2 linked regions of the Medicago truncatula genome follow. The protein of the gene in region 2 interacts with the protein of the main gene of each other region in a pairwise test. Links are inferred from orthologs where the notes say so. Each region holds a gene or a part of one and is shown on either strand. Other genes may lie near its edges. The genes, in order: protein GID8 homolog and dual specificity protein phosphatase 1.

Region 1 (11,638 bases), on a different chromosome or scaffold from region 2:
GAAAGAAAAATCCAATGGATTTTCAAGTCAAATGGATTCTGTTAGTAATAAGCCTCCTACGGGCAGAACTTATATAAGTAAATTTTTATTTAATATATTGTATAATTATTAGTAATATTAGATATTAATAACTGTTATCTGCATAACTTCTATGTAACTGAAGGAGTTAGCATTATAAATAATGATGCAGAGGGAAAGATTAGCATTTGGTAATTTGGATAAAGGATTGGTAGGGAGAGACCAAGGCTCTTGAATTCTTGGAATGAGTGACCAATACTCACAAATTTCTTGAGATCCTATTGTAGTATTACTATTAATTTGTATTTTGGTATCAGTTTCTATCAGATTCCAATCATAATTTGGTTGCAGAAGTTGAAAACCACAAAGCAAAATCTTTCCAGATGAATAGATGTAGAACATATATTGCCATTCAAAAAAAAAAATGAGGGACATATATAAACATAACATGAATTCCCAACGGCATGCAAAGGAAATCAACTGAACTACTAGTACTAGAGTTAGACAAATTGTGAAGGGTTTTGGTAGTTTGCATCAGGTTGTCGCATGTTTAAAACATATTGCCACCATGGTATACCAAAAATGTTAAGAATACAACTAGCTACAAAATGATTGATCCTGGCATATGAATAATAGTAAGCCTTCTCGGCATTCCTTAGAATCTAGATTTATCAAAGCAGGCAAATATTTCAGAAAGTTAACCGCTTACAAGCGCTACAATAAAGGAATAGTGGCTGTTTAACTGGGGTGAATCTAGCAAAGCTTGTATTTATGCACACAAAAAAAAACAGCTTTTTGAAGCAAACACAAACCTTTTTCGTGACTCTGGCTTGTAAGTATAGCTGCATTCACCTCACTTGCTGTTTTTAGACGCTGTGATATGTCAAGAAGCTCTCCAACTGGACAGTTAGAGACATCTTCAAAGGCAAGCAGTGCAACAGTCCTCTCCAATTCTTCCAAAAAGCTTTGCTGGAACCCAAATTTCAAGCTAGTGTTAGCATCAAGTTCTTCCAAAAAAAATTGAAAAAGCATAGATATTTTAGTTCCTATTTTGCTTTTTCCTGACTATAGGCAATCATTGCTTTTTCCTATTTCACTGTTAATAACCCGTCAATAAAAATGCCAGAAATACTTCCGCAATGAAGATATAATATGACAATATACACGCGAAAAAATTCATTAGAATGGTTTACATTTTCCTCTCCCCTTGGGGCAAGCTCCTCCTGTGCAAACTCTAAAGCTTCTTCTATTTTTCCATTCCGGATTAGTTCGATCAACCGCTGCTGTTGAAGATGGAAAAATAATTGGGGGTTTGTGTCTAGTATCTGTAGACAGTATTACACAATGAATGTTAATTTTATAGAACATGTGGATAAGACAAAGATCAATGAATGCTCTGATGAGTACAAAATGTTTTGTGACTTCTACATACATTAGGAATGGGGGGGGGGGGGGGGGGAGGGTGACAAGGACAAAAAGAGGGAGTTGTCACCAAAAAAACTAATGGAAAATGAGATCTCCACACAATTTTTCATTAAAAAAAACAAATCTTTTATGACACCAAATGGACCTATAAAAAAATTGAGAAAAAGTGAAAAAAATATAAGGGGTGGAAAACAACAACTTTGAAGCCCAGTGAAAAGAAAATAAATAGGACTAAAGAAGATAATCCAAATTTAATATCAGTACTTTTATGCAAGTTATATCCTCTTTTATCAAGATCCCACATCAACTGGAGTTATGGCCAGAGTACTTCATATGAAGCACAAGCAATCCTCGCCTTTTGAGTTAGCTTAAGATGCTAGGTTGAGTCTAACAAAGTCTAAGACAGCATCAAAGCCTACCCTAGTTGTTAATGAGCCATCCACATTTGTCCATACTCCAAAAGTCTAATATTGGGTTTGAAGGGGTGGGTTTAGTTCCCATATCCACTAGCTATATTACAAAAGCAGCTCTTGTGAGATAGCTGTTGGAATTGAGCTAGGTCTAGTCCAAATTCTAAGACCTCTATTGCTGATATTCTTATGATATCATCCTAATAAGCACACGATGTTAAGCAATTAAAGATAGTATAGTACGACAAACTTGAAAGGGTATGTTGAGATCCTGCATCAACTATAAATATGGCCAAATTAGTTCTCTTATCTTAAGCTACAACACTCGAGTCAGCTTTTGGGATTGAGTTATAGGTCTAACCCGAACTTTGAGACCTATGTTGTTGACATTTTTATGGTGCCCTCATAAGCATGTGAGTAAATCAAGCAAGGGTAGCAGGGCAGGAGAGAGCAAGGTAACTGTAAAAATTAGGAATCTTCAGATATTCCTTTAATTGTACAACTTCCTAGATTGATTGTTATTACTCCTAGAGCAAGGGAGTTGGTGCTTACAGTACTCATCAAGCATTCAATGCAATTATTGTAAAACCATATAAATACAAGGTGTGTGACCTCATTATAGACACAGAATTTACATATTTTGAGGAACTAAAATGCAATTATTGTAAAACCATATAAATATACAAGGTGTGTAATCTCATTATAGACACACATAGTTTACATATTTTTACAGTAACTAAATAAAAGAGGCGGTGTCATGTCCTATTTAAATTCTGCATCAATTTGACCATAGTCATGCATTATGTGCATTGCTCATTAAAAGTAAGAAAGAATAATATAGATAGAAAGTGGCACTTCGCAGTTATAATGAAATTGGGGGAAAAAGTGATATGAGAATGAATTCCTTGAAGCATCTGGAAGAATGAAATTCCTTCTCGTATAAAAAGGAATTGCAAGCTCACCTCGGGATTTAAGTCATTGACTTTCTCGATTGCATCTTCAACATTACCACTTTGTACTGCCTTCTTAACGGCCATCCGATCAGTTATTGTAGCAAGATCAATGTCAGCTGAAGATCATTAAGGGCAAGCATAGATTGATTTACAAAAAAGATTCCCCCCTCCCCCAAAAGAAGAATAATAATAATAATAAGAAAAAAGGATACGCTCAGTTCCAGACTCCTTGCGAAATTTCTCTGCAGCGTCAACAAAGCCCTCGGTAACAAGGAAATTCATTACCAATTTATTCATGTCTTCTTTCCTAATCTTGACATTGTTAAGCTTTTTTTCCCACTCTTCCCTTGTTATCACTTTCTTTGATGCCGCCTTTACACATGTATTTCAAAGATGAAAATCATTAGTTTACCATTACCATGAAACACATGGGAATCACTACATTTCCATCACCCATGATGCACAACATTGTCTACAACCAGTTCAAATATAGAAACACTTCTAAGAAAAAGACTATTTGACTCTTTATAAAACACACTTCCGTCTTATGCAAAATGACAGAAATTGATGCATCATTTTGTTTTGCTAAACGTTTACATGCAAGAAAACAATTCAATAACCTTCCATGTAAACTACAAATTCATATCTTCACTTTCCACAACATTTCTAAAAATCAAAACTCAAAATAAAACAAATCTGAACTCCTTTTCTAAACCTCTTTAAAATCACAACAAAACGGAATGTAAAAAGAAAACATCAGGACTCTTAACAACATCAATAACCAAGCCTTATCCCACAAAGTGGGATCCACTATATGGATCAAACGACGCCATAATGTTCTACCGTATATCATTTCTATATCCAACTCGTTAATCTCTAGATATTTCTTTATAGTTTCTCGTATAGTTTTTATGTCTTCCTCTATGATCTACTCTCTTTACTACATAATTTACAAGTCTTCTCTCTAAATGCCCAAACCACCTATAGTCAAGTTTCCACCATCTTTTCTGTGATAGGTGTTAGTTGCCCCGACACTCTCTAATATTGTCGCTGCTAATCCTATCTGGTCCACACATCCAACGCAACTTCCACCACCAGAATTCTTTAACAAGCACAAATTAAAGATCTTCGCAAAAACCCACATTAAAGATTTATACCTTACAACAATTAACAAAAAAAAAAATCGAAATCCACATATAAAATTCGGGGGAAATTAAGATAAACAGTAATGAGATAAAGTGAATATCAATCCACACATACCATTGCCTCAATTTGTGCTAGCTGACGAATAACAATCCAAAACAATGACATCAGTGAACACGCACAGACCTCATTGTAACCCTGAACGACGCACCAATCCTCAAGATTTGAATAATTCAATCAAAACTGCAAAAACAAAATCTCACATTCTTCGGATCAATAATTTGAAAATTGAAACCCTAATAATTAACGAAAGGGAAAAGTTCAGAAAGAAGAAGAGAGAATTCACCTCAAATTGGAGAATTCTAGAACTTCGATTTCAACTTCTTAAGTCGTAGTATGTACGGTTCTCTGAATTCCGAGAACTTGTTTGTTCGATCTTTTGCGATGATTGAGTTCGGATTCCGCTGTTTTTGTATGGGTCGGGTTTGTTTTTATAGGTTTTAACAGTAGAGCCTATTGCTATCCACACCCCCAGTATCACACATAATATCTCCCCTTCGATAAATTTAGCTCCAAAAAAAAAGTGCGAATATCTAAAACAGATGAACAACGTATAATATATAATTGTTTTGATGTATCAAGAGTAACATTAAAAAAAAATTAAAAATACAAAAAAGAAATTAAAATAAGTGACCTTCTAAACAAAATTTACCTTAGATCTTTATGTTTGTGGTGTCTCTCATGCAGTGTGAGAAGATGATGTAGATAACCTTTACAAAATCTATAATAAGGTTGACCTGGTAATTTTATGTGTTAATTAATTTCATTGACAATGTATGTGAATGTATATGACGTATTTGAATTGTTTTCTTTTAAAAAATGTGCATTAAACATGTTTGCTCTAAGAACAATGTGGTGCAAGCAGTTATTACATGATGCCTTGGAAAATAAAAATCTTGACATAACAACGATGAGTGAACTTTTACGACATTTTACTTTGTCAGGTCATTTTACATATATTAAGAAAAGTATATATAAATAAAATAGAGATAAAAAATATTTTTACTAGATACTATTATCAAAATATTTGTGTTTCGTCACCATAACAAATGAAAAGTAGAAAATACTAAATTAAGAGAGATGCAAGTGATATCAATTAAAGGGTATAACTTAAAAAAATAATTAATATTGTCTTGAAAATTTAAAAAGGTTCCTTATTTTGAAACAATTTATTTTTTATAAATAGATCACTTATTATGGAACGAAAACAATATGTGTGTGACATCAAAATACAACTTCAAGATTACATATTAAGGACCCATTTGTTATAGTTTTTAAAAATAATATTTATATTGTTTTATTTTTTCGCCTATAATTTTTTCAACAAATTGTTTTTTAAGGAAAGCTTTAAATGAGATTTTTTTCAGAAGCTTAAAATAAGAAGTTATTTTGAACAAGTGGTCATAAAAATTATTTTCGAGAGATATATTTTTTTTAAGAAAAATTTGTGACTTATAACAATTCAGCTCACCTCAATGAATTTGAGACATAATTTCTCAATGTAGGAACATCTTGATTACAAAGTCCGACTTTAGAGTGTTGTATATTACGAGGCAAACAAATGAAGTGACCCATAACATAGCTAGAACTTCTTTATCACAACCTAGCGCCCATAATTTTCATCATGTGCCAACTACTTTCTATTCCTTGATTATGAATGAAATGAACTAAGGTTATCCTTGTTAAAAAGAAAAATTCTAATAACGAATATTTAAGTCTGTGAATGTCAACATTACACCGCTTTTAATTTCTATTAAATGAGTTTGAAACAACTTATATTATTTTTTAGTAAGTTTTCTTAAAAATAATTTCTAGAAATACAAAAAAATAATCTTTTAAGAGTTAAATATGATATAGTGCCTAAAAAGGTTTTGTGAAAACCCTATGGAATAAAGGTATTAGGGAGACTTGTGTCAGAGCTATCAATGACATGTATGAGGTGGTCTCGACTAGTGTGAGGATACAAGGTAGAGACACCAAAGATTTTTTCATAATAATAGGATTGCACCAAGGTTCAACACCAGACCCTTATATTATCACCATAATTTTATATGTATGTGACAACAGGTTGAAGGAAGAACTAAAGAGAAGGTTGAAGACAACAGGTTAGAAATGAAAAGAGAATTAAGAATTATATTGTAATTTTACCAACGGGTTAGACCATGGTCGGTTTTAGGCAAGTGCAACAATGCCCTTAGCATAACTCAAACTTAGGCGACCTTAAATTATGGGTTAGTGCTCGTTTGTTATAAATTAAAAATATAGTCAAATATGTTTTCAACCCCTGTAAAATCACGAACATTTACATTTAGTCCTTGTTAAATTTTAATAGTAATTTCAATCATCTATAATATTGGAGTTAGTAAGAATATTTCTTATTTTAAAAACTCTTATTCCTCAAAACAAACTTGCCATTTTCTTTACCATCAAATTATCACCTTGTACAAATATCTGCTAATATAAATTTTAACATGTATAACCGACCCTAATTTTTTACTGAGAAAAACTTTGTCTTCCCTCTAAGTTTTTTTCCTCTTCCACTCGTCGAGGAGGGGTGATTTTAGGTCAATTTTTGACCTAGAATCACCCCTTTGCATCTTTTTTCCCCTTTATTTCAATCTAAATAAGTGATTTTCACATACATCAAGTTTTTCTTTCGTGTTTTTTCGTGATTTCGTCGTCTTAGTGCGACGTTGTGTTATTTGTCGTCTTGTGCGGCGTTGTTTGATTTAGCATCCTTTGTTGTGCGGTGTTCGTTTGGTTTGTATTGAAATATCAACTTCAGACAATCACAAATTCAATCAATGATTTGGGCGTTAACGTTGCAGATCCAGAAGCATGGGTATTCTGGTGATTTATATTTCATCATATTATTTGTAGTCATTTTGCCGTTGTATGCTATTAACTTGGGTGCTGTGAGTTTATTCGCAGATTCACCCTATACGTTTTTAGCGATATTGATCATGTTATTGTCTCTGATGTATTCTATCAATTTGAATGAATGAATATTCTTTATTTTTGTTATTTATTTTTTTTTAACATGTATACGAATTTTGTAACTCCCTTAAAAGAAGCGGTTACGTAACCGAAAGTTGGTTACTTTTTTTTTTTTAACAACAAATAATACTTGAATTTTTTTTAAGACATTGATATATACTCCCTCCATTTTTTTTATGTTCTTTTTAGAAAATTAACATCAAAACAACGATGTGTATTTTTGCACATTTTCTTCCTATTATACCCTCATTTTAATTCATCAATAAATTCCTACTTTTTGCACACATTTTATATTTTCAATCAATTTAATATGTTATCTTTCTCTCTTAACAAACAATTGTCAATTTTCTAAATATTGTGCACATCTTTTTGATTATTTTAAGTCAATATAAAAATTATTCCAACTTCACATTAATCAAAAGTTAAGAAAAAATTAACTTTCTTCCAACTCCTTTAATCAAAGTTAAGGCTTCAACTATGGCTTCAACCAATGCTAGAGTCACACTTGAAATTTTTAATAATTGTTACTTATCTTATTTTTAGAATTTAAACTCTTATTGGAACCATTGTTTGGAACAAAATTTGTTTAAATTTGAAGATAATGAGAAACAAACTTTAGTTTTTCAAATAGATAGCAATAATTAGTTTTATTGAAAAAATAAAAGTAATTGACAAATTCTATAATTGACAAATCTTACCCTGAAAATATCAAAAAGACAGTTAAATAGAAACGAAAAATTCACTATAAAGAGACGCTTAAAAAGGAACGAAAGGAGTATAAAACTGTGTTTAAACCGAAAATTCTATGTTTCTCGACATTTAAAATGTGCAAGATCATTTGCAAAATCTTCTTGAAAAAACAAAACATCACCGCAACTAATTAACATTTTTCCTATTTTTTCTCAGCAATTAGCAATTTTCTATTTTTTAAGGATGTAAGCTTCTGTCGACATTTATCATTAAAGTTGGTTGAGTGTGTTTACCATTCATCCAACCGATATCAGTTCTCATGATCTACAGTTTGGTGACATACATGTTTTCAAAAATGATATTCAATTTAACTTTCACGTGATTTGGTTGATTTGCATATGAGTCATTTGAAAAGAGTGCAACTCTAGATTTTTTTTTTTTCTTTTCGCAATAAGCAAACCTCTCAAGATCAACTTTTTGACCACATCAATCTCCATTATTGGCGGTGGTTAAAAACTTACAAATCTTGTTATTTTTACGATTTGCATTCTTGGTGGTCCGATCCGTCATTTTGGACGATTTATTATGTATACTGATACATTGTTTCCATACGTATTAGACACTTATTGTGCTTTATATGTTTTTATATTTTTATATTTTTTTCAAATAAAAATGTTTTTATATAATAATTATTGTGCTTTTGGCTTCTTAAAAAAATAAATTTCAATTAAATGATACCAACAAAATAGAAATTAAGTGAAAATCTAATAACAATTTCCTTAATTTAAACGTAATTTATTAATCACCAAATAAAAAATAATTCAAAATTCAATGTACAATAAAAGAGCACATCAATATAAAAAAAAAACCGTCAAATAAAATGTTAAAAAAAAAAAGAAGAAGAAAAAGATAGACTAGAAAATGAATGAGAAATGGAAAATTCGAAAATGACTCATGAGGAATCCAACTCCTAGTAACACACACAGTTATAGTAATAGCAGCCACTAAAACGACGTCGTATTGATTGATTTATTCATAACCGCGCGCTCACTATAACATGCGCACATCTCTTAACATGCGCACCCTCTTACGTATCCCAAACCCTATTTAAACCTAACTTGACACAATCCACGATTCAACTTTGTCTTCTTTTTTCCTTTCTCTCTCTAATAACTTTCTCTCTCTAAACAAAAAGTCGCAAATTCACATCACGAACCTTCTCAGAAACCTCCATTGATTCTTCACGAAATTGCCATAATCCATTTTCTTTCTCGCTTTGGTCTCTTCGGAGAATGCGATACAACGCGTTGTTACTTTTAGATTTCGTGAATCAGTTTCGTAGTTTTGGAAAAAGCGAATTAGGGTTTTGATTTCAATTCAACATGGCGGATGATGGATTTCAATTTTCGACACTGTTTGCTGATGATGATTCCGATGATGAAAAGCTTGCAATGGATATTGAATCGTTTCTCAGCGTTCTTGATGAAGATTGTGTTCCTTCAGAGGTAGGGTCACTGTGAATTACGATTGGGTTGTGGAATTCAACTATTCACGGTTTGATTGTACTTGCATGTATATTTTTTCTTTGATTCAGTAGGATTATTTGATTTGCAGTTTGTTTTTTGAAATTTTACTGTTAAATTGGTTTCCTTTTGCGTTTTGATTTGTAATTATTTTTCAAAGATTGGATTTTTACTATGATAAACAATGTTGTCAATTGCTGGTAGCGGGAAATAGTAGATTTTAAAAATTCGGCTATTCGCCGCTGTAGATGTCATAAACACCGATGATGAATGAAGGGAAAAGGGAAATTATTGGCCGATTCACGTAAATATCTATTTTATATTTTGTCTAAGGTTTTCATTATGAGTGTTACAACTTTGGAGATTTTAGGCACATTAATTTACGTATGTAGATACTGAATAAGTAGCTCTGAAGTGGTTTAAGCCCTGTTTGGATAAACAGCTTATAGCACAAACGCTTAGCGCTTATGTATAAACAAATTATTTTCAGCTTATAGCACAAGTGATTATCATGAAAAGTGCTTATGTATAAGCATACATAAGCTGTTTTTACAGCAAGGGATAAAATAAAGTTGAATTGGTTTTGTGTATGCTATAAGCTATTTTCAAGCTATATTGAAGATCTATAAGCTATTTTTAAGCTATCTTGAAGAACTTATGAAAACGAGCTGAAAAAGCTTATGAGAAATGTCATTAGCTGTTTTTTTTTTTTAAATTCTCCCCAACAGTCTCACAAAACTTACGTCAGTAGATAAGCTCAAATAAGCCAATCCAAACAAGCCCTTAGTTTAGTAGAAAAAATCCAGTGCAATTTTTTTACAAGGAAATTCAAGTCATGCTTTGTCCGAGATTCGAATCGTTGTTACTATAGTCAAACCAGTTTTGCTAAAATTGGAGGAACGTCCGGAGTTTTAGAATCCCTACCGTGAAAGCCAGCTTTGATATTTAAAAGATGAAAGATTCCTTGAATTGCTTCTGCTGGTTTGATATTTAAAAGATGAAAGATTCCTTGAATTGCTTCTGCTGGTTTGAATGTCTTCATCTTTACACTATATACATGAAGAAATTGTTACATTTTTCCTGTACCTTTGGTCTAGTTCCTTATTGTAACGTAGAAGGATAATTGATATTTATTTTACAATTTTATGTAGTGTCGTGTCACTCATTAATTTTGGTTAAATTTCGGATGTGCTGGGTAAGTAGTTAGTGTAGATTCTCATAGAGAAAAGAGCTCAATTTCTTGTATGGAGACCAGGAAGTCACTGCTTTATGTTACTTTATGCTCCTCTTTGAAAATATACCATTCCTGCTGTCTCTATTTAAATTTTTATTTGAACATCTCACCAATTTTAATAATTTTCTGGATATAATGCTGCAGAGTAGTCCCGAGGATTCTTCATTGAAAGACGTTTCACCTGGTGAATCTGGGATCCATGATGATTTTTTACTTCAAAATGGTATGTAAACTTCTGAGCCCTTTTTTGTGGTGTCATTGATTCTTGACCTTATAGGTTGTAACTGGTCCCTCTAAATTGAGGATTAGGAATTTCTTGAGTTTATTTTCTTTCTGAATTTTGTACGCGTAATACGTAGTTGTTAATATGTTAGAGCAGATTGTTATTGCCTAGGCTCTCAAGTGTGTTTGAATAAGCACTTTTTCCTAGACTAGACTTTAGTAGGTTCAGCCATAGGCTGTTAAAAATTATGGTAAGATGAATAATATTCTGAGACCCGGGGCTCAATTCATTTATCTGATTCTGCAGGGAATTCCTTGCTTGACTCCGAACATGAAAACCAGGGACCTTCATCACGGACCTGCTCTTCCCCAAATGTTTTTGCTGGTGGTTACAGGGACTCGTTCTCTGTTGCTGAAAGTGATGAAACTTGCTATGCAGAAAGGGCAGGAGTTTCTGAACATGAGATGCCTTCTTACAGTGTGGGCACAAGTTCGAACCCGAGTCTGTGGAAGGATGACGATTATAGCCAAATCAAGCATGTGGTAGATGATGTGGAATCTGAATGTATGCAAAATCTTTACTGGCTTATCATTAGATTTCCATCATTATTTCTTATCTTTGTCATATCTGAAGCTTGGGCAATAGTTTGATTAATTGTTCTGCTTGCAGATGCTTCACACAGCTCTATCATTGAGAATGTTGATGGAACTTTTGAAGATTATGGAACAGCTTTGAAAGACACAATTGGAGTTTCTAGGCAGCCAGAAAATGACTCCTGTACATCCTTTGAAATGCCATTTGTGGATGTTGACATACCTACACATTTTGGAAATTCAGCTGATTCTACTTTTTGTCAAGGTTCCAATGTTCCTAGTGATTTTAGTGGCTACTATTCATCTTTGAACTGTTACCAGGGTATAGATGTTAGACCTGTTGTTACCGGCAGTTCTGGTTATTTTCCT
Region 2 (10,892 bases):
GGTTGGAACCTTTGGTGTTGCCCATGGGTAGACAAGAGGTGGTAATTTCTTCTCATCATGTGCTCACAGGTTTTAATCAGAGTGTGCACGGTAGCTCCCAGTCGTGGAGAGGAGATGATATTTACCCTTTCTTTTATCAGTTTGGGTCAACAACGAGTGTGGGCAATCCGATATTGGACTTGCCTAATTGGGTTCAGCTTGGATATACTGAACAATATCCACTTCAAAAACTCAAGTACTATTAGGTGCATCCCTTGAAAATAAAACAGAAAAATGTTCCAAAAAGCTCAAGAATACTCTCAAACAAAAGCTGCTATTTAAAAATTGAGTACTCGTTGCAATTATTTTAATATTTTGGTTTTCGTAAATGTTTCTGGAGAAGTATATCCCCTCTAACAAAGTTAATTTTTCCTAACAGGCCATTTTTCCTAAACACTACAGAAACATGGAATGAGAGAAGACAGATCGAATTCAACATTTCATGAAATAGGCTGGTATGCATAGTAGCAATTCATAGTTGTTATAAACTGGGACTTCCGCACCTGAGGATGAAGTTTCAGTGCCAATCCATAACTGATGCTGCCTTGTCTTCACATGATTGCCAGAGTCACGCTAATCATCTACACTACCTTGTCTGATCACCATCATGTTCTCTATCCAGACACTTCGATATCTTCACAAAAACAAACTAGATACAATCAATGATATGTTCACACAAACTACTTTTAGTTTGAATTTGAATCAGTGTTCATAAAACTATATGAAGAACAAAAGAAATGTGGAGTCCATTAGTGAAGAAAATGAAGGGGGAAAACCATATAAAGAGAACAGCGGTATTTTTAAAGTCAGCGAAGGTATATATAAATTAAAACATAGATCTACCATTTGAAAAACCCAGGAAGATCCAATTTGACAGAATTGCATTAATATTTCATATACATAATGTCATGCATTAAAATTTAGATATTACAAAAAATATAAAATAAAGGAAAGAGATATGTTCAAATCAAAGTTTCACAGAAAAATGAGCACATATGCTTAAATATCTGATAAAGATCATAATGAAATAGAGACACACACATACACACACGAATATAGCTTATATGCTTATAAGACATGATCGTTAGTCAAACTCTTATGTGATTGTATCATTCTTTATGCAAAAATTGTATGACAATGGTAACAATGATGTTTAGTGGATAATTATAAAACCCTTTATACTTCCTTTACCATGCACACTCTGCTAGATTACTATATTATATACAAGTCAATTTTCTTTCAGTTTAAGCAATAAGCATTATAAAAGCTTTTATGTAAAGTGAAGTGACTCCTTATATTTTACACAAGCTCTTACATGTGCTAAATGTAAATCGTAAATGTATCTTCATGGCTATAGAGGTGTATCCATTTAATATCTATATAAGATCTAAATGTATCTTATATATATATATATATATAGGGATTTGCTAGAACACACCCACTAGTTTTTATGTGGGAGTGTTTTAGTAAGTTATAACTAAAAAGTTAATAAATACACCTTAAGGTGTATGTTGCTGTAACACACCTTCTAAAAAAACAAGTGGGTGTGTTCTAGCAAATCCTATAGGCATTTGCTAGAATACACCCACTTATTTTTTAGAAGGAGTATTTTAGCAAGTGAATAACTAAAAAGTGGTTAAATACACCTTAAGGTGTAGCTTTGCTAAAACACTCCCACATAAAAATTAGTGGGTGTGTTCTAGCAAACCCCATATATATATATATATATATATTGGCATGTTGATGTTTAATTATATTTAAGATTAATACAGTTTTAACCTTGAAGAGATTTCTCAAAGTCTTCCAGCTGACGAATGAAACCACGATTTGGAGTTGCTTGTGGTCTTTTGCATTTTACATGTTGCAGAGCTTCAGATAAGCTCATTCCCCGAGACTTCATCAGATATGCCACAATGATAGTCACACTAGAAGGTGGAAATAAATTAGAACCAAGTTTTTCCAGTTAATCTAATGAAAAAGAAAATAGCCAAATGAACAATATGAATACCAAGATTCTTAGTTCCAATATGACCATTAAAAAAGGAGGTAGTAAAATGCTGCATGAACTTTGTGCAGAATATAAGTGACAGGCCAATAGTAAACAAGGACATAATCATCATTCATGAATCTCAAGCTTACATCCCTAACTTTCCATTCTACATATTAAAAAAATCGATGGCATCTCAATTCATACTATAAAGCATTTTTAGTCTATTTCATTGAGAAGCATGCACACTTCAATTGTCAGTTCAAATGTTTAATATGTCAAAGTTCAAACGGAAAAGATCGACATGAAAGCAGATTTCTGGAAAAGAAAACAATAATGACAGGGAAAACAAAAAAAAAATCATATCTGTAATTTTCAAAGCATCAACAAGGTTTGTCATTTTCCATATATGAAACAATTTGACATTTAGCTCAACAATCATATCCTCAAATTCCACATGGCATCACATATATATGGCCATACTCAGAACATTATTACAATGGATTTCAAGAGATAGTATCATTGAACTAAAGACATAATTAAAAAGCTATAAGCTTCCATGACATTTTCCCAACTTTATAAGCAAAACATAATATCTGCTATTGAATAATAAAAGACAATGATAACAAAATAAAAATGTAAGGATTTTAAGAAACATTGAAATTCAAATATGCAATGTGCTGCTCCCAGTTTTTGCTTGAGAAACAACATTCCAGAAATTTAAACCAAAACAAAACAAAAATGCCTGAGATGATTGAGACATAAAACAGATTTCAACTTATTGACACTTGTCTAAAGTAAAATAATAGTCTGTACAATGAACAAGAAATGATCCTATGTAAGCAAGAGAGAAAGATATAAACAGCGAAACTTACCTCCTCGATCTTCCAGCATAACAATGAACCAAAACACTTCCACCATTACTTTTAGCTTCATCAATAAAATCAAAACACTCTTCGAAGTGTTGTTTTAAGTTGGTATCCTCTTTGTCAGCAACTTCTCAATTTTCCAACAAAAGTGTAACTTTAGTATGGATATTGTGTACTAGATGCCTAAAAAACTTAAGACAAAATTAGAGTGTAATCAATATAATCATAATCAACCTTAATGACAAGCAACATGGACCTGAAATGTTGTGCAGTCTCATTTAATTGATCGCAATATTACACGAGTCGGTTAAAAAGGAACTGACATTCTGAGATGATAACATCTATTATAACAAAATACAATTTCTAAGATAGAAGGAAATTTTTTGACAGCAACTGCATGCTAAACAGATTGAGATCCTCTCTCTAGTACTCGACACATCTAGTAGGAGGGAGAGAGAGAGAGAGAGATGAATAACTAAAAAAAATATTACATCAATTTCTCTCCTATTGAAAATGTCGAGTAATGGAACAATCTCAACACATGCTAAACTTTCAAAGATCAAAGCACGCTTTTTCATAATTGCAAAGAAAATGCTAAACTTTTATAGATCAAAGCACGCAATGGTCATGGAGTCAAGGTTTTGCTCTCCACCTGAACCCGCCTCCCAAAACCCACTCCATTGTCACCAAAATAAAAATTAGGTACCCGACCCTGTCCTAATCGGTGTTCTGTAAAACCCACCCTACCACCACTTCCTTCCTTTTGCCCTATTTTAACATTATTTCTTTAAATAAACCTTACATTAAATGCAATACAACTCAAATAATCCATAAACATGGAAACTGAGAACCTCAATAAGGTAACAAAAGTTAACATCCAAATCATCTTACTAATAAAAATAGGTAACCTCAACCTTATATTTTGACTAATATTGTAACATTATTGATGAAGATATGTATTTCCAAACACACCCTATCCATTTGTTTAGTCCATTATATAGTGAATTCACTTGCATTACTTTGATAGCCACAAAACCAACAGCTCCGAAAGACCAAAATCAAAAAGAATAAAACCGCATCATTGTCAAAATCAGTTCCAGATCATCTATGTAACACCGACATCCCTGATTAAAGGCGTGTCACCGACACCACATTGGATATGTGATTACGTTCAGTTAATTCATTTTCTCAAATTTTTACTAGTGTCAATGTGTCAGTGTCATGTATGGTGACCGTGTGAGTGCAATAAGTAATAATAAAAGAAACATACCATCTATAACTTTATAGACGAAATCGGCAGGATGTGCAGGTGCAAGTTTCCCAGCCACAGTCAAAATGTGAGTAACATTCACATTTTTTAAACCAACCTTGTTCGTAGCAGAACCAACTGAACCCAAAAACAAACCCTAACCAAATATCATTCATCATTAGTTACAAAATTCAGAAGAATAGTGAAGATAATAACAAAATGAAGCTTGATTAAGTAAACTACCTGGTCAATTTCACAAGGAATATTATCCTCTTTCAAGGATTTATTCAAAAGCACAACCTTCAAAATTAATGCAATTTGTTTCTTCATCGATTCGTCGAATTCATTCATAGCTTCTGATGTTGAAGCCATTTCCTAATTCATACAAATTCAATAATCGTATCAGTGTTAACTGTTAAAGATATATAAATAATCGATTGTGATGAATATAATCAAATTCTGGCGAATATAAACACTTGAACTGATAGTACGAAAAGGAGAAGAACTCACCAATAAAGCGTTTACGATTTTGCATAGAGAAACTCCACTTTTTTTTTTTTTTTCTCCTTGCTTGCATATGAGAAGTAGAGAACATTTATTTAGCCCATTAAAATGCCAATTTTAGTCTCTTTTTTTTATATAGAATTTTTTATCCTTTTGAAATTTCTATTTTTAATTTTAATTCTTGCGTTTCATTTTTTAATCTAGCCAAAATTGTTCCACACATAAATCGAAACGAGCTTCATTTGAATAATTTGTCTTTTATGAAATACAAAATTAACTTGAATAAGAAAAAGATATGTACATATATAAAAGTAATTGAGTGAAAAATAATTGGTCATCTCTTCCTCCACAGGTCGAGCTAGAAATTTAACAACGGTTAAGGGGGGACATGTTTAAGTGTGCGTTTGGTTCAGCGGTGGAAATAATTGATTTTGATAGAATTGAGTTTGATAAAATTGATTTTTGAAAAAAAGTGACTTGAATGTGAATTGATTCTTAGAATTCTTGTTATTTGAATGCATAATTACCAAAATGAGTATAAATATCTATTTAAAATTATATTTTGTTTCTATTTTATATAATTATTCAAATTTATGTTGCATTATCAATTTAATTATTTGTAGATTAGAAAAACTTCTAAAATAAAATGCATGTTAATTTGATACTTTAATTTGAATTAGGTATACTATATAAATATTTTTACACATATTAATTAACAAATTTTCTCTTTGTACAAAAAATAACAAATTTTGTCAAATGGTTTTTTCTTAAAAAAGAATCTGTAAAAAATGTAATGGGCTTGCATAAGAGGAGAAATTAACTAATAGGCCTATGAAACCCAATTTCATTTTGTGAAAATTAAAATAAAATAAATAAATACAAACCCAATTCCATCTTTTCTCAAAGAAAGAGAGAGAATGTTGAAGTTTGCTGGGTAACATGAAGGCAGAAACAGGGTCGAGAAAGAATTTGAGCAACAAAAAATTCATCACTTTTGCTGTGTTTTATAAAACTTTGTCGAAAAATGAAAAAGAATATCATGGGTAATTTAGGAAAGTACATCAGCCACCAAAAGTTGAATTCCTAAATTGCTTTTGAAAAGCTCCAACTTTTAGCTTCTGGTAAACGTGAGTTTGGGGGTTGAATCACTTTTGCAGTTACCCAAACACCACAAAAATAGAAAAACTGCTTTTGAGTGCTTCAGACTCACGTTTGTACCCACAAAACGGGTAACCAAACGAGCACTAAAAGATATTTAGTTAAACAAAACAAAAAATCTCAAATGCACTACATATATAAGAATTTTAATCTACATTTTATGTTTTTTTTTTAATAAATCTACATTTAAAGTTAATATTAGGAGAAGAGAGAAAAATTATATTTACTTATTTGATTTAGTTTATGAAAGTTACTCTTCTCAATTCCCCAATTTTCTATTTTCGCAATTGTTGTGGGTCGAGTGACACTTAACTATCGTTCACCTCTCCAATGTACCGCTACGAGTATTTTGGTATTTTCAAATGGCAGGGAGAAAAAATGGAAGTGAGAAGAAAAAATATCTTATTTTATTCTATTGTCGCTTTTATAATTGACATACTTAAAGGGTTCTTTTTTTTCATAAATGACAAATGCTCAATGTTCAAATAATCGAGGACTCCAACAAAAGAGCTAATGACGGGGGACCACGTTCACAATACTAGTGAAATAGCATAAAATTAGTAGTATAAAATTTTTAAGAAAAAAATTGGGGGGGGGGGGGGGGGACGACCTCCCTTGGCCACCCCATTACCTTTGACCTTGCTTCTCTCTTTTCCAAACCTTAATCGTCACCAATTTTTTTCTTCTTCACTATCCTAGAAGGGTGAAGATACTTGAATAAACAACTATACTGATGTTTAAAAAAAACAGCTATATTGAGTAATTTAATAAACTATTGACTAATTTAATACTACCATATCGTCAGATGCTAAAAAAATAATTAATGAGTGTAGATCTCTACAAATTTTTGCACCTCTCGCTATCTCTTCTTTCACTCTTTTCTTCATCAGCTGCATTAATATACCTAAACCCAACACCTTTGTGTTTTAATCAATAGAAAATTATATTTTTATGTGGTTTTTCTGCTGTTGAATGTTACTCCTGCTCATCTATATTGTACATGTGATTATTTTGTTTTGTTTTTGTCTGTGAATGATATTTAAGAGAGGATCATTTGAATTGTAGATCTGGTTTGGTCACAAGAAAACCTCTTTGTAGTGTATCTTGAGGGTGAAGGTTCCTCTAATGATTTGTGTTTGAAAATTATCACAACTTTAATTTAATCATATCATCATATATATCTATATAAAAATATAAAGCTATGGTGTTCAACATTCTTGCTCCTTCTTTATGCTTTTCACATTTATTTTAAAACTTGTCACGCTAAATGACTTTGATGAGTGCGTCGGTTTATCATAATGAGTGTGTGAACTGTGATATATAAGTGGTATAAAGAATTTCCTAAAAAAAAAATGTAAAGAAAGAAAAAAAAGTAAAGATTTTAGGTGTTGGGTGTTCTTTATCTTCTTTTCACTAATAAAAAAAAGGTTAAATATGTTTTTAATCCCTATAAATATATCAACTTCTCATTTTAATCCCTCTAAAAAATTTCTTCGACTTTTAGTCATCGCAAAATTTTGCATCTTCACTTTTAGTCTCTCATTTTAAGTAAACTCATATATCTAGAATTCATATTTTTGAAGAAAATTTTACATAAAAATTTATAATATTATAGAATCTCTCCAAAAAACAATTTGAATTTTTTAACAAAACATAAATTAAATATGAATTTTTATATTTTTTGCGGTTAAAAACTCATATTTAACTCATGTTTTGTTAAAAGAGAGATTTTTACAAGGGTTAAATATGTTTTTAGCCCTTAAATTTTGCATGACTTTAAAAGCATTTATTAAAATGTAAGGACTATTCTTCAAAGTCACGCAAAATGTAGGGACCAAAAACATATTTAATCTTAAACTAATTGGGATCTACTAACTGTCACATCAGCATTCCGTTAAAGAATTAACAACAATGACTAATTTTGATAACGGAGATAAAATGTGAGGATTTTAAAAAGGTTTAATGAAATGTATGGACTATTCTTCAAAGGGACGCAAAATGTAAGGACTAAAAACGTATTTAACCCTTTTTACACAATTTCATTAAAAAATACATGAGCCGATTTAAAAATAAAGACCAAAAGTGATGATTGAAATTTTATAAGGACTAAAATCTTGAACAAAAATTTTAGGTGACTAAAATAAAAATTTAGTATATTTATAAATTATAGGGATCAAAAAAAGATTTAACCTAAAAAAAAATGGTTCCCTAATATTGTCATACAAGGTACAGTTTATGTTAGTACAAAATCAGAATCTTCAAAGCTTGGAGATGTTTACAGACATTAGCTTTTGAACCAATGTAGAAGTAAATCATAGGTGATAAGTCTTTTTTGTCTGCACTTTATGTCAAAATTGGGTTTTCTGTATAGGCTTTCATCAATTCAGTTTGCAACTGCTGAGGTGTTGAAATATTTTATTCCTCAAGATTATTAAAACATGAATGAGCAAGCTTAACTTGTATCTCTGAGTATTCAATTGCTGCAATATTTGGAAGTTTGCACTGCAATGTTTTGTATTCAAATTAGATTAAACAACTTGTATTTCTTAACTTTACATGGATTGCTAAATAGGAAAGCGAGAAGTGGTAACTGAATACTTTTGCGAAAGAGAAAAGTTGTAAAACCAAGAAGAAGGGTAAGGTACTACCACCGTATCAATCAAAGTTAAATACTAAAAACTTCCTACAATTTCAACACACCGACTCCAAAATATTCTAGTATCTTTTACAAAGCAAGAACATCCAAAAACAAAATGCCTGGATATACAAAGGAAAAAGAAACTGAGGCATCTTGAATAGATGTTCATGTACTGTGTCCTTCAAATTCAATTGCATGCTGCCTTTATTTTCACTTGCTTTCTATTGTAATGTCTGAAGTTAAATGTTTGGAATAACGATGATCATTAAAGTGTGTATGCATCTCGTCCAACCCCAAGTGAATTTTGATTCCTTGCTATTTGAGATTTTTTACATTCACACATTTTAAACTATAAAAGAAAAATTAAAATCTACATATTTTTAAACAATCCAATGTTAATCAATCCTTTACAATATCCCAAATGCGTGAACGCGGAAAATCTTAGTTAGATGAAAATTCCTACCAAATAAATAAATAGAGGGAGAGGTTAAAGTTGAACGATAATGTAAGAATCAAAACCTTCCCTTCTGGTCAAAACTTCTCAACACCTACACTCCATTATTAATTTCCCTTACCATACAAAAATCAAAAGCTATATAGAAAAAAGAAAGCATGTGTGAGATGCAAACTGCAACTGAAATTGTACTCTTCTAGGTGAGACTCAATAAATACTCCCTCCCCAACCCCACTTACTTCATTGTGCAAATTCATTCATATTCTCTAATAATCAATCACTGTCCATGTCCAAACACCATGTGGTTCATCATGTGAAGTCTTCAACATATATGAAAGTGGGTTTTGCATGGCTGCCCAAGTTATTCCACGTTAGAACCTTAGTGACAGAAATTTGTAAATATCATGTTCCAAATATAGGTAGCCTATTAAACTCACATAAAAAATTTGCCCATCATTATTTCACTCTTATAAAATTTATGACATCAAGTTGTGCCTATCACAATCATATACTAGTATAATAAATTAAATAAATGTTTTTTTCCCTTTAATTAGGATTTGGTGGCATTTGAGGTCAGAAAATGCCTGTAATAGATCCACCTTAGCCATAAAACATAAACTTTTACATTTTAGGTTCAATTTAACCAAATTCTACTTATTAATATTTATGAGAAAAATTTATGTGAGTTAGGTCTTGAAAGCTCGCAGAAATAGGAGAACCTAAAGGATTAAACCAAAAAAATATATAAAGGATTTTAGTAAGTGGGTCTAACTTCTTAATATTTTATAGGTCAAATGCATCTAAAGGTTCTTTAAGTTTTTCGTTTTTTCCAAAGTGGTCCTTTAAGTTTCAAAAGTCTCAAACAAGTCCTTTTAGTTTTTGAATCGTTTCAAACAAGTCCTTTTAGAGGATGATGATGACAAAGAACATTATCCACCATTTGCCATGCCTAAAAAGATGACTAATTTTAAGTGGGTGTTAGGAGTCAGATTTTGTACCAAAGATGAGTTCAAGAAAGCAATTACCAACCATGCTATCTACAATATGACTTGTTTGAAACGATTCAAAAACTAAAATGACTTGTTTGAGACTTTTGAAACTTAAAGGACCACTTTGAAAAAAACGAAAAACTTAAAGGACATTTAGATGCATTTGACCTATTTTATAACATAAAGGATTAAACGGAAAAAATATAAAGGATGATAATGTTACCTGATTATAACAAAATGATTAAATCAAAAAAACAAAAGTGTTAATTAAAATTAAATTAAGGAAGAAATAGTGTAATTTTGAATTACAACTAACTTGATCACGGTTTAGGCTTTTAAGAATGGAAACAATAATTTGTTTGGAAAAATAAATCTTAAAAATGGAAATTGTGTAATTTTTTTTCCCTAAAAAAAAAAACAAAGAAAAAAACAAGAAACCTTGAACGTGACTCATCGGTGTATCCAGATGGGGCATGCTAACTAGTTTTTTGTTACTTTCTTTTACCCAATTTTGCAGTTAAAATAGGGCATGCATGATTTAATAAGCAAAAGCAGGTGAGATTTAGCATGGGAAAGCATATTGTGTACGTTTGGGGAGGCGTTTTTCTCCTCCAAAACTCTGTTTACACAGCAAAACGTCGTTTCCTTTCTTTTTGTGTTGTTTGGCTGACAGAAAAAGCAATTATGGAATCGTACGTTTGCCTTCAAAACGCCAGTACAGGAGAAGCTGAAATTCCTAGCTTCCACGGCAAATCAAAATCACGTTTGGGTTTCAATTTCTATAGAATGGACGGATCTAATTGATGAAAAAATGGACAAATCTGTGTTTCCACCATAGAATGGGAGAAAAGAGAGTTTTTTTTTTTTAATTAATGAGAAAAAGGAGATTAGATATTGACAATAAATATTTATGGAAGATGGAGGATATATTGAGAGATGGGGAGAGAAGAAAATCAGCTATGAAAATACCGAATTTACTGGGAAAAAATAGACAGTCGATTGTGC

Evidence for each region.
Region 1: the proteins of dual specificity protein phosphatase 1 (region 2) and protein GID8 homolog interact in binary tests that used the Arabidopsis thaliana proteins (3 or more experiments, as listed by UniProt). The link is inferred for Medicago truncatula from reciprocal best matches to the Arabidopsis thaliana genes DSPTP1 and AT1G61150.

What each region holds. Positions count from the first base shown.
Region 1 is NC_053043.1:3,308,448-3,320,085, forward strand, and holds the start of protein GID8 homolog, read right to left. Parts: upstream 4,453-11,638; 5' UTR 4,296-4,452; intron 4,193-4,295; 5' UTR 4,118-4,192; coding exon 4,067-4,117; intron 3,179-4,066; coding exon 3,019-3,178; intron 2,923-3,018; coding exon 2,816-2,922; intron 1,344-2,815; coding exon 1,212-1,343; intron 988-1,211; coding exon 831-987; intron 1-830. Other genes in the region: helicase-like transcription factor CHR28, read left to right, coding at 9,079-9,201, 10,598-10,676, 10,983-11,240, 11,346-11,638.
Region 2 is NC_053045.1:56,689,543-56,700,434, reverse strand, and holds dual specificity protein phosphatase 1, read right to left. Parts: upstream 4,782-10,892; 5' UTR 4,655-4,781; intron 4,520-4,654; 5' UTR 4,517-4,519; coding exon 4,388-4,516; intron 4,302-4,387; coding exon 4,166-4,301; intron 3,023-4,165; coding exon 2,902-3,022; intron 1,965-2,901; coding exon 1,819-1,964; intron 674-1,818; coding exon 654-673; 3' UTR 275-653; downstream 1-274. UniProt on the Arabidopsis thaliana protein: Has a dual specificity toward Ser/Thr and Tyr-containing proteins. Dephosphorylates MPK4 in vitro.